2 linked regions of the Saccharomyces cerevisiae S288C genome follow. The gene in region 1 interacts genetically with each later gene. Each region holds a gene or a part of one and is shown in the gene's direction. Other genes may lie near its edges.

Region 1 (8,055 bases):
GGGTATCCCTAATTGGGATCTCTTTCCAGAGGAAGGGGCCTTGATGTGGGATTGAAGACACATGAGTTTTTTTCTCACCGTCGAAACTTTTGCTTACCCGTAAAACATCGGCCATTCGTTGGTTTATTATGTGACTTTTTTGTGACTTTTTTTTTTGCGAAGTTTTCTCGTCATCCGCGGAAGATCCGGCGGGCGAAAAAGTCTCTCACTTTTACCCAATCGGGGCATGTTATGTGGACATGTTATGTGTCCAAGAGACACATGAGCCCAAAAAGGGTACACTGTCTAAATAGTTTACCCTTTACGAATCGAAACTTCTCGAAGAAGGGGCCGAAAATTAGCGCAGAAGTTGACGAAAGTTTATACTTTTCCTAATGGAGAGGCTCAGGAGCTGAAAAGGGATATATTCGTACTCTATTGCATCTTCAAACTCCGAAGAATCTCAGTAGGGAGTGAAGCCGGCTTCTCGATGCTACAGTTCAACATCGATACTTTGAAGAAAGAAAGCGCCTATTATATCTCTTTTACCCTATTAGTAATAATTAGGAAAAAGGGAGAAAAAAGTACCTCACTAAAAAAACCATCATCTCTGAAATATAAAAAGCTTGATAGAGGGTGACATTTGCTAGAACTTCTGCTGTGTTCTCTTGGGTTATTGCTCTTATTGAATATCCCTTCTATTTCTTTCTTGCTTGTAAAAAATCAGCTCAAAAAACATCTACAGGATTAATCGTCAGTTAAGTAATACAGTAATAGAAAATGAAGTTCCAAGTTGTTTTATCTGCCCTTTTGGCATGTTCATCTGCCGTCGTCGCAAGCCCAATCGAAAACCTATTCAAATACAGGGCTGTTAAGGCATCTCACAGTAAGAATATCAACTCCACTTTGCCGGCCTGGAATGGGTCTAACTCTAGCAATGTTACCTACGCTAATGGAACAAACAGTACTACCAATACTACTACTGCCGAAAGCAGTCAATTACAAATCATTGTAACAGGTGGTCAAGTACCAATCACCAACAGTTCTTTGACCCACACAAACTACACCAGATTATTCAACAGTTCTTCTGCTTTGAACATTACCGAATTGTACAATGTTGCCCGTGTTGTTAACGAAACGATCCAAGATAAGTCATCCGCCGGTGCCGTTGTTGTTGCCAACGCCAAATCTTTGGAAGCTGTCTCATTCTTCTTCTCTATCATTTTTGACACCGAAAAGCCTATTGTTGTCACTGAAGATTCCGCTTATGCCATTCCAGTCGCTAACAATAAGAACGCTACCAAACGTGGTGTCTTGTCCGTCACTTCTGACAAATTAGTGTACTCCGGTGTCTTCACTCCACCTACTGCTTGTTCTTACGGTGCTGGTTTGCCTGTTGCTATCGTTGATGACCAAGACGAAGTTAAATGGTTCTTCGATGCTTCTAAGCCAACTTTAATCTCTTCTGACTCGATTATCAGAAAGGAATACAGTAACTTCACTACTCCTTATGGTCTATTAGAAAACGGTGTTCCAATTGTTCCAATTGTCTATGACGGTGGTTACTCTTCCAGTTTGATTGACTCCTTGAGTTCTGCCGTTCAAGGTTTGGTTGTTGTTTCTTCTGGTTCTACCAACTCAACCTCATCTACTATTGAAAGCACTGAAATCCCAGTCGTATATGCTCAAGCTAACACTCCATTAAACTTTATTGACAACAAAGATGTTCCAAAGAACGCTGTGGGTGCTGGTTACCTATCCCCAATTAAGGCCCAAATCTTGTTGTCCATTGCTGCCGTTAATGGTGTCACCTCCAAGTCCGCTCTGGAAAGCATTTTCCCATGAACTGATAGATATTAAATCTAGCGAAGCATAGAGATTCTTTTTTTACCAGTCATCATAACCATTATTTTACAAAATTTCCACGCAACAGCTTTTATTTTCGTTCGTAATAGGAACCATACTTCCCATTAAAGCAGTATGATTGTTTTATACACCTTTTTATTGTTATTTAAGACATACCCCAAATAATTAATTAATTAATTGATGAAAGAATCATATAAATTCTTGGCCATACATATTTTTTTATTATCTTTTGCTACATTGACCATAGGTGAATATCTTCCCGGGGTGACACTCCACTGAAGTGGGAAAAAAAGAAAAGTTTTAAAACATTGCTCACCTTAAGTCTCGAAGGTCTAGCATTCACTACCTGTAAGTGTCAAGACCCCACATGTATACATGGATACAATAAAGAAACAATGTCCGTATAATTTGTATACATTTTACTACAGATAAGGGATCTCACCCCCTTCTTTTGTGTCTAAGTGAAATCTTCTGATATATTTAGTGTTTTATAGCGTCCATGTTTTAAACTAGAACGGCAAAATAGTAGTTGTTGTAAACGCTTATTTTCGAGACATCAGGTAAAAAGGATAGTTAAATCTTACAATCAATGCATGTAGTGAGTGGCGTTTATCAATAGTTTTTAACAATTCCCATTTTGAAAGAAGCCCACAACAACCCTAGTAGTTCGTTAATATACGTTATGATGGTCAAGTGTCACAGTACGGAAAGCTTGCAAACAGCTCTTACATAGAGGAGTTGCTTCAAAATAAACGTCCTCTGGTGTCAAGTGTCTCATACAGCGACCACATGCGAAAGAAACTACTACAGATAAGCAAATACACAAATTATAATCGTGGATTCATCATCAGAATACGCCTGGCCCTGTAATCCTTTGGCTCACCAACATTCGATGGACACCTTTATATCTTCTAATAACAGTGAATAATAGACACAATACGAAGAAAAACCCAGCGGTAACCATGTAAACGGTACCACTTACGCCATAAGCTAAATAGATCAGAATGGTAGAGACTTTGACAAATAGCTCGAAAGCTTTAGCGAACATTAGTCTTATCCAATTTAAGTTGGGTTCATTGCCATCTCTACTTTTCATAATATGTTTTATCACAGGTGAAGAGTAAAATACAATGATGTTATGAAACTTTCCAAGCAACCCTAATTTACCAGTATCCTTATATGCTATTAATGTCGTGCCACCAGAACCAAATATCTTGGCAAATTTCCAGTATCCCACGATTTCGATTATAAAATCATTCTCTGAAAAGGTCATTGAATTGAACCCGCTCCTTAATATGTTGTATACGGAAAATGGGAATAAAATTAGCCCAATAAAGTAATCTAAAATGAATAAATTTCTAAGAAAAGTTCTGAGAGGGCTCTGCTGCCTTGCTGTGAATGGGGAATCGGCCGTATTGGCGTTGGTGGCTCTTATAGTGTCTGCATTGATTCCTCCATTTCCGTTTGTGGTTGCATCCATATTAGCTGCTCTATTTATATTTGAAGTAGAACTCATATTCCTCCTAAGGGAGTTAAATATTCCATCGATTGCTTGCTGTACATCCTGCTGTAGTTCTTGCTGAGATTGCTCGGTTACAGGTGAAGGCTCTCTACTATGCCTCGTTTCCGATTCTTCTAGAAATCGCTGAAACAGATAATCATCATTATCGTCTCTTTCTGTCCAATTACTGCGGCGATGATTTTGAGGCCTCGCCATTTTTTCTCACTAAATGCTTGTGAGGATGTATGCGTTTGATTCGGTGTCTCTTTAATCATATTCCCGAATCGACCCTATTTGAAGGTAGAGGGAGTTGTTTCCTCTCACTATTGTTATAAAAGATCATCAATGACGGAAACTAATATGCAATGAAAAAATGAGAAGTTTACATGAATATGAAGATTAACTGCACAGCAATGTTGTTGACCCTTGGTATTCGCACACACTAAGCCAACATAGGTTCGTTCAATTTTTAAAAAGAAGATGGTCCGGCCTCAGAATGTTCACTGGTTTATCGCTACAATTGTATTTTTCATCGGATTTGTACACGCTAATACAGAATCAATCTTATATAAGGTTCCTCACAACTTTCCCCTCAAAAAACCAAGAGACAGCTCTACTTATGCAAGAGATGTAAACTTGATATCTTCCATATCACTATCGGGAGAAGCAATGAGTCAGATCACTATCGAGGCCAATACCACTGACTTGGAGTTGCATAATACTACGTATATTGAACTGGCGGACTTACAGCGAGACGAAACATATCAGATTAAAGTGTGTTGGTCAGCAATACATCCAATTTCCATTAATAATCTCCAAACTATCACAATACCACGTTTCACTGAATTTCAGGGAACTAAGTCAGACTACGCGAGAATACTAGTGACTTTCCAGGTCTTGTCTGACTCGTATCCTAGTGAGCATGCCATGGTTCCAATACAAGTCTCATTAATCACCACTCGGCTAGGTATCCCCGTGGATATTTACCCAACATTAATCGTTATGGTGCTATTAGTAGCAGGGCTTGTTGTTACCCGGGCACCACACGTATTGAACGATCTTTTGCTGAAATTTTAGTATGGAAGCCTGAGCCCCCTTTGGCTGGATAGCTTGGCCTCATCACAACTAGAACGTAAAAAAGTCCATTAACCATCAAATGCTTCTCATTAAAGTGGGTATTTTTATCGAAAGAAAGGGACCTGAATATCTAACTCGCCGCTATGTCGAATGAAAACTTATCTCCCAATAGTAGTAACCCAGATTTAACTAAACTGAATAACGGCGAAAGCGGAACTATTGATACCAGCAAATTCTCGCCCAACGAAATGAAGCTATACAAAATGTACGGAAAGCTGCCATCAAAGAAAGATATTTTTAAGCATACCATGCAGAAAAGAAAATATTTCGACAGTGGTGATTACGCTTTGCAGAAAGCTGGCATTCAAAACAATGATCCAATAAACTATGGAAAGAATAACCTGCCATTAACAAATCCCAGCAAACTACGAGAAGATATAATAAAAAGAAGGATAAGCACTTGTCCGTCAACTGCCTCAACCGCTGGTGTAGTAGATAATGCGACGTTGATACAAAAGGAGGGAAGTATATCGAGTGGACCACCATCGTCTAATAACGGTACTATTGGAGGTGGTAGTACAAGTTCAACGCCAGTGGGGAACCACAGCTCTTCGTCGTCCAGTTTGTATACTGAATCACCCATTAGATAAATAGACAACCTGTACTTTTTTATATTTTTTTAGGGAAAGAGAAGGGTCTCTTATATTTAACGCTTATTATGTGATTTCTCGAAATGTCAAGTGTTACAGCCATATGGCTGACTGTGTTTACGTTAATTAGTTATATATAAACGATAAGCCATTCTGATGTTATCTTCTTGTACTTCTAATTAATAATATTTACTCGTCAGAATTTCGACTTTAATGAGAATATAGATATCTTCCTAGTTTTCCAAACATTAGAGAACCAAGGAAATAAAAATCCATGAAATATAAAAATTGGGAACCGTCGATAATATCTTTGTAGCAAGAGATACAACAACCCACCCCAATGCAGATGCAGCTCATTAACATGGATATTGAGCCGTCAAAAAACAACCACAGTATAATATTCAGAAGCCCCCATGCCCCTGCCGCCTGCAAAGAGGAGTTCCACTGTATTTTCCTGATCCCAAATGTGACTCCCAACATGGCATTGATACTTCTAATAACAGAGGTCAAACTGTCATGGTGGACAGAGCTCTTAACAACCTCTGTTTGAAAAATATTATCCAGAATTGGTACAACAGAACCAAATAACAGTCCTTCAACACCGTAGCCTAACCAGTTTGGCAGAACCCCATTGGATAGCCAGTTACAAAGTTTGACACCCAGTAGAAGGGGTCTCGATGCAAAATCTGGATGTAAGAGATGATTATCGTGCAAGTTTCTGGACAGTTCATGATATGCGAAACCGCTCAATGACAAAATTAATACAGCTTGCAGGTAATGAAGAATATTTTGACGAGTTTGTCTGGTTCTTGACGGAAAGTTTTCGTGAATGGATGATGCTGATAAAATCCTTTCCAAATTATTAGAAGATACTGTGTTCCTTGGCAGCGAGCCGCCAACCTTATGGGCCAAGTAAAAAGTCGAATCAATAGTTTGATCTCTACTATATTTGGTAGAATCTATAGAGACAGAGCGTTTCAATTCTTCGTAAATTTCGTTATCTTCCGATCTCACGACGTCATCATCATATAATGAATAAAGCTGCGGTTTAGTCAGAGAGCAGATTGATTCGGTGCTCTTCTTTGGATCCGGTTCTCCTCTATTGGCCATTCTGTATGCTGTTTTCTTTGAGAAATACTTTGTCGTTTATCTTCGTCCTTGTCTTCTTTTTGGTCCTTTGTGTTTGAGTGCTTTCCAAACTTTTTCTTTACCTTTTGCACGCCAACTACTATGCCCTTTATTGCAAATAAAATAGGTACTACAATAAGCCCTATCATCAATGTTGAGCTGTCAACTAGAAGTTTAAGGAAAAGAACATCTCGAAGTTTAGTAATTTCCTTGCTTTCATATTTTAAATGTCTAGCTAATTTCGTATCTACCCTTTATCTCATGCCGATAAAAAGAAAAGTTCCCCCCTCGTGGCCAGCGACGTTCGTATATACATAAAACTGCCTCACCCTCCTTTCGGTGGCAAAAGCATGTTCTACAAATGAGTATAAAGATGTAATAAGAGCTTGTACAAGCAAGGACTCGAGCTAGGGCGGAAGTGTGACAACAGTGAGCTATAGGCACATTGTAGTGTACATCTACTGCAAGAGCTTGCATTAATTTTGATATAAAAAAAAGGACCATCAACTAATTTTTGCTATATTTAAGAATGTCGGCGGCTATCGAAAAAGAAACCGGAATGTTGGATGTAGGAAAGCACTGTGCATATTGTAGACAACTAGACTTCCTACCTTTCCATTGTTCGTTTTGCAATGAAGATTTCTGCTCGAACCATAGACTTAAGGAAGATCACCACTGTAGGTGGTTGCTAGAGCATGAAGAAGTTCATAAAACTGAAAAAAGTCCTAGCAAAAGCCGGGATGGCTCAAGTTCTAACGATGAAGCATATTTCAAGAGTCTGTTACCTGAGAGGGCCAGTGTTAGAATCCAGAGAGTAAGTGAAACAAGAGAGCCTTTGAGAGGTTCTAACACTGCCAAAGTGAGCTCTACTTTGAACTCAAAGACATTAGACAAAATATTTAAGTTCTTCCAAAGGAATGAGAAAAGAAAGAGCAATAACAAATCAAAAAAGAATTTCGGTTCCTCGTCGAATAAGATAATTCAATTGGCTAATCTCAAGAAAATTGCTAAAGGTGACCCCAAGATTCCTATGCAAAATAGGATTTACATTTGGTGTTACTTGGTGGATGGTGATGAGACGGATATAGCCAAGGAGGATACAAGAATGCCATTATACATTAACAAAATGTGGCCTGTGGGTAGGGCCATGGACTATTTGTCTATCCAGCTAAACGTGAAATCTAGCACACTAACTAATTCAAGTTCTAATGACAAATTTCAACTATGCAAATTGAAAGAGGGTAAACAAGTTTCATTTTATAATATTGGCGCTTCCTTAAGAGTCACTAATGAGATCAAAGATCTTGATACTCTGTATTTAGTACACAATAACGCCGACGAAAAATCTAATTAAGAAGGACACTATAAATAACAAACAATCGCGCGGAACGTCAAGCGTATATACTATATAAAAAGAAAACAAAAAAAATCAATAACCCATTAAAGATACATAATCAATAAAAAACGATATTAAAAAGCACGTAAAGTACTTAATATTTTTTTAATAATAGACATTTTCGCCCTTACTTTTTAAATAAAAAACATAAAAAAATATCAAATGTACATCAAAATCATAATACTAGAACAAAATGTGAAGATCACTGGACGGTGGTGGGAATGATTACAAAAAACCTCCTCCGTTTTCTATTCTAACAGCATCCTAGCTTACTGAAAAAACCTTTCGATGATTTGTTACTATTTCTATCTTGCGCTGCGTTTTTAGCGTTTTGTTCGTCGTTCGCCGTTGGTTGCGCATTATATGGATACTTGTTAGTTTGACCATTGGCACCTGTATTGGCAAACTGTTTGGATTTCTGTTGCATTTGCTTTTGTTGTTGCTGAGCATATTTTTGT
Region 2 (8,201 bases), on another chromosome or scaffold:
TTTTTGATGATGATCTGAACTCGCCGCCTCACCTGCCACTACGTCTTCCGCATTCCGAGTACTAGAGAATGAACAATGGTAGTCGCTTTCAAGGCCTAACCATTGAATCCAGCGCTCGGAAGCTCGTTCCTGCAATAAAGTGGCGGTCGTCCCACTGACACTAGTTAACGAAAAGGAATCCACACCGTAAATATTTCGCCCTGTTTGAACGGAATGATTGGCCATGAGTTCACTCGTCGCCGACTCGTACAAATCTGTTTCAAATCTGCTACCTACGCAGTGCCGTCCTAGGGCAATCAACCCCTGACGCATCTCCCGAAAATTCAGCTTCTGAGGTGCATTCTTCGGAAGTTCCCTCATGTACTGCCGAAAAGTTGCGTATTCAACCAGACAGCCCTTCGCGGTATTCAGAAACATGTAGGAATACAAAACTATCCTCGAAATGTCTCGATTTGTTACTTGATCTGGATCCTCAAATCCCACCACATCCATCCAAGGATCATGATTAAAAGCGTCATAACTGTTACCAAGCGCACATATTTGCATTTGCCTTAGCACAGTGACAAAATAAAACACGTAATCTGAAGTGAGTCCGTCAAGCGTCTTAAGTCGAGGCTCCGATGAACCGTTCTTGTTGTAATCAGTGTACAGTTGGATGCGTCTTGTTGTATCATCGACGTATACGTTGCGCTGAGGACCGGCAAAAGCGAGTAGCTGAAGCTCTGGATAACGGTAAGGGTATCCTACGGCAAAATGGATCATCCACATAAGTGGCACCGTAAGCTCGTCAATTGCAACAGTGACTTTATTTTTAAGAGCCGCGGTCATTTTGTTAGTATCTCTTCTCAACTTGGGCAGCACAATTTCACGATATTTAACAGGTATCATTTGAAGGAAAGAATCGTTCTCCAGATACTCGTCAATTCCTCGCTTTGGCTCTCTGAACAAAACTTCTCGATTACGCAAAATGAGGCTGGCAATATCAACCACTGTAGGCATATAAAAGCAGTCGTTCAATTCTTCCCAAAGGTTATCAAACTGAGCCTTGCATGCAAAGTAAAAGCCGCGGACATACTCGCGATTAAACAGTTTTCCACATACTGATACACCATCAGAAGAAGGTACCAAAGTTATTCTATAAGAGTCCTTCAGCGCGGTTTCCTGCGCTACTTCGTGGTACAGAATTTTGATCCATTTCCACATCGCAACGCCGTTGTTGTCATCAAATATATCTAAATCCCTTGCGGTACAAGCACAAGACGACACCAATAAAGCTTTCACGGCATCTAGTGTTTTTCTGAGTCTTCGTGGAGTGTTAGGACTGCGCAACTTACATACTTTCAAGCCATGCTCGTCCACAGAGGGAATAATGGGTTCTTCATTCGTAATGGATCGATCCTCTTCGTCACCAGCGCCACCACGGGGACCCGCCCCGAAATTGAGCGCACATGCTCGCAAGATAATATGCAAAATATCACCCAATCGGTCCTTTTTGTTCATCATATCGTTACATATCTGTGAAAAGTACTTTATCTCAGTGGGTTTACGTGGGCATAGATCACGCTTCAGCCGCTCTGTGTCGACTTTCTTTTCGCCAGGTAAACTTGCTTGGTATGCAGAAAAAATCGATAGCTCATCTACGTGTAGTAACAAAAACATGTAGGGTGCCAAATTGTATCCATATTTCCTTATGGTGCTTTTCTGAAGACCCCTTACAATAGGTGTGCCAGAAACAAAGTCAGTGAAAGTACGCATCGTAGAGCTGTCGTTCGGCCTGGCACTCGCTATTTCGTAACAACGTTCCAGGACACGGAAACTCAACTCATTATAGTATCCTCTGTTGAGGTAAAAAAGAGAAAGGGTATCGTAATCCTTTCTATTGAATTTCAAAGTATGCACTTGAAACAACGTGTAGACCATCAAGTTGATTTTCTTGGGAATAAGATACTTTGAAGGGATTGGTCCGCCCTGGAAATCTGGTTCGTCTTCAACAAACGTCAGGAACTTTTGTACATTTTTCCCGACCATGACGGAAACGACAATTTTTTCAAAAGACCTTTTCCTATCCATTGCACCAGTTCTGAATTTTACCACTTTGATTAGACCAGACTTTTCGTCTTCGTAGAATGACCGCACTTCCGTGGGGATCGATTCAAATAAAGTTATTGAGGGACAATGTACCAAGTCGTTTTTGTTATTTAGAGCCGACTCAAACTCGTCAAAGTTTGCTTTTTCAAACTTACGCCTATCGGAAACTTTCATTTTATTTTTGTAAGTTTCGAAATTAACAATAGTATGTTGATTGTTATGCTTTTTGACAAGAAATCCATCAATATAAACAAAAGATTGTCCAGTTTCCGTCTTATCATCATCTAAGAATGTAATAATTAAGCTATTGAGAAGATGCAGAATCTGCGCTATGCAGGTGCAAATCTCTAGCAGCAGCAAAGTAAATTCAGTTAGTAAGAAATCTCACTAAGATAAGCGACTGTCTGTCCCCTTCAAGCACAACATAGAAAGCAGAAGGATGTCTCATTCATCGCTTGATTTCCGGCCTGCAAAAATAAAGTAGTCGGTACGTACGTTCGTTTTCAATTTCCATGGTGCACAGTATCTTAACTATCTGCTTAGTCGAGGAGAACCAGGATTCTGTTCGTTGCTCAGCCGCTTCGTGGATATTCTCTTGGATACTTTAAATATGGACCTACGCTTAGCCTGCGCTTAGCCTACAACTTCTTCCGCTCTCGAAAAGACCAATATAATAGAAAGTTATAAATTACATTTCCTTATTAGGTATACGACCTCGCGCTTCGAAGTAGAGGAGCCCTTTTTGGCGTACCTACATATGGCGCGTCAGACAGACAAACTTCCCCCAAAAATGTATTACCCCGCCGAATAAGAAAACAGACCCATTCACCCACGACGTATCAAGTTACTTCCTTGGTGCAATGTCCCACTATAAAAAAATTCCTTGACGCTAGATCGTTGGACTAAAATCTGCGTCACAATCGCCTAAACAGGAAATATTGCCTATTTTCGTACAAGGTTACTTCCTAGATGCTATATGTCCCTACGGCCTTGTCTAACACCATCCAGCATGCAATACAGTGACATATATATGATTTAACCTGTCTCTCAACTTACCCTCCATTACCCTACCTCCCCACAAGTTACCCTGTCTCATTCAACTATACCACACCCCAACCACCATCCATCTCTCTACTTACTACCACTCACCCACATCCACCACCTGTTACCCTCCAATTGCCCATATTCAACTCCACTACCACTTACCCTGCCATTACCCTACCATGCCCCATCTTGTTACTCACTATACTGTTGTTCTACCCAACATATTGAAATGTTAACAAATGATCGTAAATAATACACACATACTTACCCTGCCACTCTAATCCCACCACCACATGCCACACTCACCCTCACTTGTATACTGATACGGCATACGCACACGGATGCTACAGTATATACCATCTCAAGTTACCCTACTCTCACACTCCACTCCATGGCCCATTCTCACTAAATCAGTACTAGATGCACTCACATCATTATGCACGGCGCTTGCCTCAGCGTTCTATACCCTGTGCCATTTACCCATAAATCCCATGATTATCCACATTTTAATATCTATATCTCATTCGGCGGCCCCAAATATTGTATAAATGCCCTTAATACATATGTTGTACCACTTTTGCACCATATACTAACCACTCAATTTATATGCACTTATGTCAATATTACATAAAAATATCATCAAAATCACCTAAACATAAAAATATTCTACTTTTCAACAATAATACATAAACACACTCAATTGCGTATCTATACCACCATGACGTCATTAACTTAAATGTTCCTTAATATCGTCATACCATTATGATCTATTCAATATATTGTAATATAACTGCACTCTATAGTCATACAGATACTTTTACTTCACCCTATCTTCTCATACTATTGTCATAGAATCTCATACTGACACATGATTAAAACGAATAACTTTTACTATAAGGCCTGCCATCCGCGCTCTATCCTTTTGTTTGAAATATTTATATACAGAATCTCAAAACAAGCGGGAGAAGTAGTAATTACCCAGAGGTCATGCATGATCTTAGCACCACCGTACCTCTATGTTTTGCTTTGATCCGCTTTACAGTGACACCAAACATAAGGAGGGAAAATGGTATTGAAATGATGTTGAAAGGTTGTTCACATTCGCAAGTAAATTGGTTCTATGAATCTTCATGTAAGATACTCGTAGGACAGGCTCTTTCCTGTGTAAATATTTGTGACAGCTACATCTAATTTCTATTAGATATTTACACAGTTTTGTCACAGGCATTCCATGTGATAATGAAATTCTCGAGCCATATGGCGGTTGTTGTAAAAGTAGTGACATTGCTGGTCGCACCTTAAATGTAAACCAAAGTTACGGCACACTCTCACAGTACCCGCACTAAAGTTTTATAAAAGTACTATTACGATTATCGAGTGAGCTAGATAGAAAATCGGAAATGAAATGGATGCCCTTTTCGAATAGTAAAGTTTCTGTGCCTAAAATAGCTCAACATTGTTGCCCTTTTTCTATCCCGAGGTTACTGAGCCATTGCATGAACGCGCGCGCCTCGACGGCTTTTTTTTCTGCTATATAAAAGCGAAAAGCCAGAAGTTATTATTTTGAATAAAAAACCCCTCGAACTGCCATCTCACTACCGAAAATGAAAGAGAATGAACTTAAAAATGAGAAGAGTGTAGATGTATTATCCGTCAAACAGCTCGAATCCCAAAAGACTGTTCTACCTCAAGATCTTTTCAGAAGCAGCTTTACCTGGTTTTGTTATGAAATTTACAAGTCCTTAGTGTTTCGCATCTGGATGCTATTATGGCTACCACTTAGCGTCTGGTGGAAACTTTCCAACAATTGGATTTACCCGCTTATGGTTTCACTTCTTGTCCTGTTTTGGGGACCAGTATTTGTTCTTGTTATTTTTAGACTTTCTCGTAAACGTTCCTTATCGAAACAACTCACTCAGTTTTGCAAAGAGATTACTAAAAACACACCAAGTTCGGATCCTCATGATTGGGAAGTCGTTGCAGCAAATCTAAATTCGTACTTCTATGAAAATAAGGCTTGGAATACCAAGTACTTTTTTTTCAGTGCCATGAGCTGCCAAGAAGCATTCAGAACAACCCTTCTCGAACCCTTCTCTTTGAAAAAAGACGAAGCTGCCAAGGTTAAGTCATTTAAGGATTCCGTCCCTTACATTGAAGAAGCATTGGAAGTTTATTTTACAGAAGTTGAAAAACAATGGAAGTTGTTTAATTCTGAGAAATCATGGAGCCCTGTTGGCCTGGAAGATGCTAAACTTCCCAAGGAAGCTTACCGATTTAAGCTTACCTGGGTTCTCAAAAGGATTTTCAACCGGCGGTGTTTACCACTCTTCCTTTTTTATTTGCATAATGTCTTCATTTCACGAAATGATGGCACTATAGCACGTCCCTTGTTTCTTGTGGTGCTGTTTTTTATCATGACGAGAGATTTCCGGAATATGAGGATGATCGTTTTATCCGTGAAAATGGAACACAAGATGCAGTTTTTATCGACTATTATAAATGAGCAAGAAAGTGGTGCAAATGGATGGGACGAAATTGCAAAGAAAATGAATAGGTACTTGTTTGAGAAAAAAGTCTGGAAGAATGAAGAGTTTTTCTTTGACGGGATTGACTGTGAATGGTTTTTTAGCCACTTCTTCTACCGCGTTCTCTCTGCAAAGAAATCTATGCGGGCTCTATCATTGAATGTGGAACTATGGCCATATATTAAAGAAGCGCAATTATCCTGCAGTGAGGAGTCCTTAGCGTAAAGATAAATACAACTTTTTCAATTTATATATTTTGTAGTTTGTCAGCTGCGAATAACCAAAACGAGACTACTTTTTACCATTACAACCATTTTCTTTTTCCCTATTTCTCACTGGTTGACAGAAATCAGTGTGCCACCATCCTACCATATGCGCAAAACTTATTGTCTTTCTCCTCCCAGTGATGCTATATTCCATGCATATTCTGAACGATGGGTTGGTGCTTTTATCAAGCAAGGTTAATCACATGGCGTGGCTTGCTCCACGCATCAGTAGAAAACGCATACCGCAGCGGAATCCTTAAATAATAAGTGATTTTACTGTACATCGACTAGAATCGGACTCTTTCACAAATTACCCTTCTTATTTTCCACATTTATTGTTAATCAAGGGATATACAAAAGCTTATGAAAGCCTTTACCGAACACTAAATAGAAACCCTCCTGCCACGAAAAACTTCAAGATCGATAACTTTAATCTTAAAAATTTGACACATTTGAAGGCGACGACTCCGGGCCGATCGATGCCCTGAAAAAAAAAAAAAAAATAAAGGCGACCTCGTTTAAGGTGAATATGGAAGAAAATGGTTATATAATTGCTTGAACATTTGTCGTTATATATTAACAATAGCATCAACCGGTTTACTAGCAAGTGATCCTAAAATATGATTTTTTCAACATAGATATTGATGACCCATGTCGTTGAAGTGGACACACATCGAAGAATACCACAAAAGGAAGAGAGGATTCTTGTCCTTGCTCCGCCAAGTTGTTCATAAATATCACGATTGACCAGTAGTAACAATATTAATATACACTTACATATAATGAACTATTTATACTATCAAAAAAAAAAAGCTTTTTTTATTTTCGTTATTTCTTAAGGTTTATGGAATTTCGTTCGTAAAGGCGTTTGTCTCTAGTTTGCGATAGTGTAGATACCGTCCTTGGATAGAGCACTGGAGATGGCTGGCTTTAATCTGCTGGAGTACCATGGAACACCGGTGATCATTCTGGTCACTTGGTCTGGGGCAATACCAGTCAACATGGTGGTGAAGTCACCGTAGTTGAAAACGGCTTCAGCGATTTCAACTGGGTAGGTTTCAGTTGGATGAGCGGCTTGGAAAGAGTAGTATTGGGCCAAGTGAGCTCTGATATCAGAGACGTAGACACCCAATTCAACCAAGTTGACTCTTTCGTCAGATTGAGCTAGAGTGGTGGTTGCGGAAGCAGTAGCAGCGATGGCGGCAACACCAGCAGCGATTGAAGTTAGTTTGACCATTGTATTTGTTTTGTTTTTTAGTGCTGATGTAAGCTTAACAAGAAATAGTGAAATGAAAGCGCATACCTCAAAGATGGATAGCTACAGCAGCTCTATTTATATGAATGTCTTGCCAACTTCCCTGGCACAAACGAGTTATCATCTGGCACCCATCTCTCACCTAAAATGCCTCAGTGTACAATGTTCATCCCACATTCATTATTCATATTATTACGGTGCTTCTGTACTTGAACGATGCGTCTTTCATAGGTCCCGTATACGAGGCGCACGCTTCATAGTGCCTATACCTTTTTATTGCATTTCCAAGGCACAAGAATGTTTTCTCACAGTGTACATACTTCCGAAGAATCCCTTTAGGGTGCCTTCAGAGATGCAGCTGCAGCTTTTGGCCAAGAAAAAGCTAAAACCAAATTTGCTTTGAACCCTCGTTCAGAGGCCATCTAATCTTTGTGCGCTAAACGGTTGCTACGGGAAAATTGTAGATTCTGTTTTTCTTAAAATAGAAAGTGAAAGACTTATCGAATACCGGAGTCGTATATTGTAGGTGTCTACAGTCTTATACACTGCCAGCAAAAATGTTGACAAGAATAAATGAGCATTCGAGGTGCTACGAAGCTCTAGTTCTGAAACAGCGGAACTTCCACTGGACAAAGCTGACCATAGCGGAAACTATACCGGAAATTGATAAGTTAACATCTTAATAAGTATTGTATAATTTTTTTTGTAATACTAATAATCGGAGAACAGCATCAGCGCTTCGTATGGTAGGCAACGGTTGCCGCCTAGGTCTACGTTTTTCTATTCATTATATGGTACATGAAGGAGACAAAAAGTGGCGGATTACATACAGAACTTCTATCCTATGGATGTACCTGCAGTCTTTCTGTTTGGATGAAATTGATAGAGGGCTTAGTGTTACTAATACAGAAATCCTTTAAGCCTTTTTCTCCCTTTTATTCACTGTTTCAATATGTCTATCATTCTGGTCATGTGTTTTTCTTCGAGGAATTTACAACTATTACAGCGATAAGTAATCATACG

Evidence for each region.
Region 2: mutations in CUZ1 (region 1) and COS6 together harm fitness more than expected from each alone (negative genetic interaction), as found in Saccharomyces cerevisiae (one large-scale study listed by BioGRID).

Annotation. Positions count from the first base shown.
Region 1 is NC_001146.8:335,786-343,840, forward strand, and holds CUZ1 (Cuz1p), read left to right. Parts: upstream 1-6,730; coding exon 6,731-7,555; downstream 7,556-8,055. Other genes in the region: YGP1 (Ygp1p), read left to right, coding at 760-1,824; ASI2 (Asi2p), read right to left, coding at 2,693-3,562; PGA1 (Pga1p), read left to right, coding at 3,827-4,423; IGO1 (phosphatase regulator), read left to right, coding at 4,567-5,073; NSG2 (Nsg2p), read right to left, coding at 5,284-6,183; YNL155C-A (uncharacterized protein), read right to left, coding at 6,126-6,350; serine/threonine protein kinase YCK2, read right to left, coding at 7,851-8,055. UniProt on the Saccharomyces cerevisiae protein: Promotes efficient arsenite-induced clearance of stress granules (SGs). May have a role in the ubiquitin-proteasome system (UPS) protecting cells from metalloid-induced proteotoxicity.
Region 2 is NC_001139.9:1,079,265-1,087,465, reverse strand, and holds COS6 (Cos6p), read left to right. Parts: upstream 1-4,736; coding exon 4,737-5,882; downstream 5,883-8,201. Other genes in the region: YRF1-3 (Y' element ATP-dependent helicase protein 1 copy 3), read right to left, coding at 1-2,435, 2,584-2,602; seripauperin PAU12, read right to left, coding at 6,798-7,160.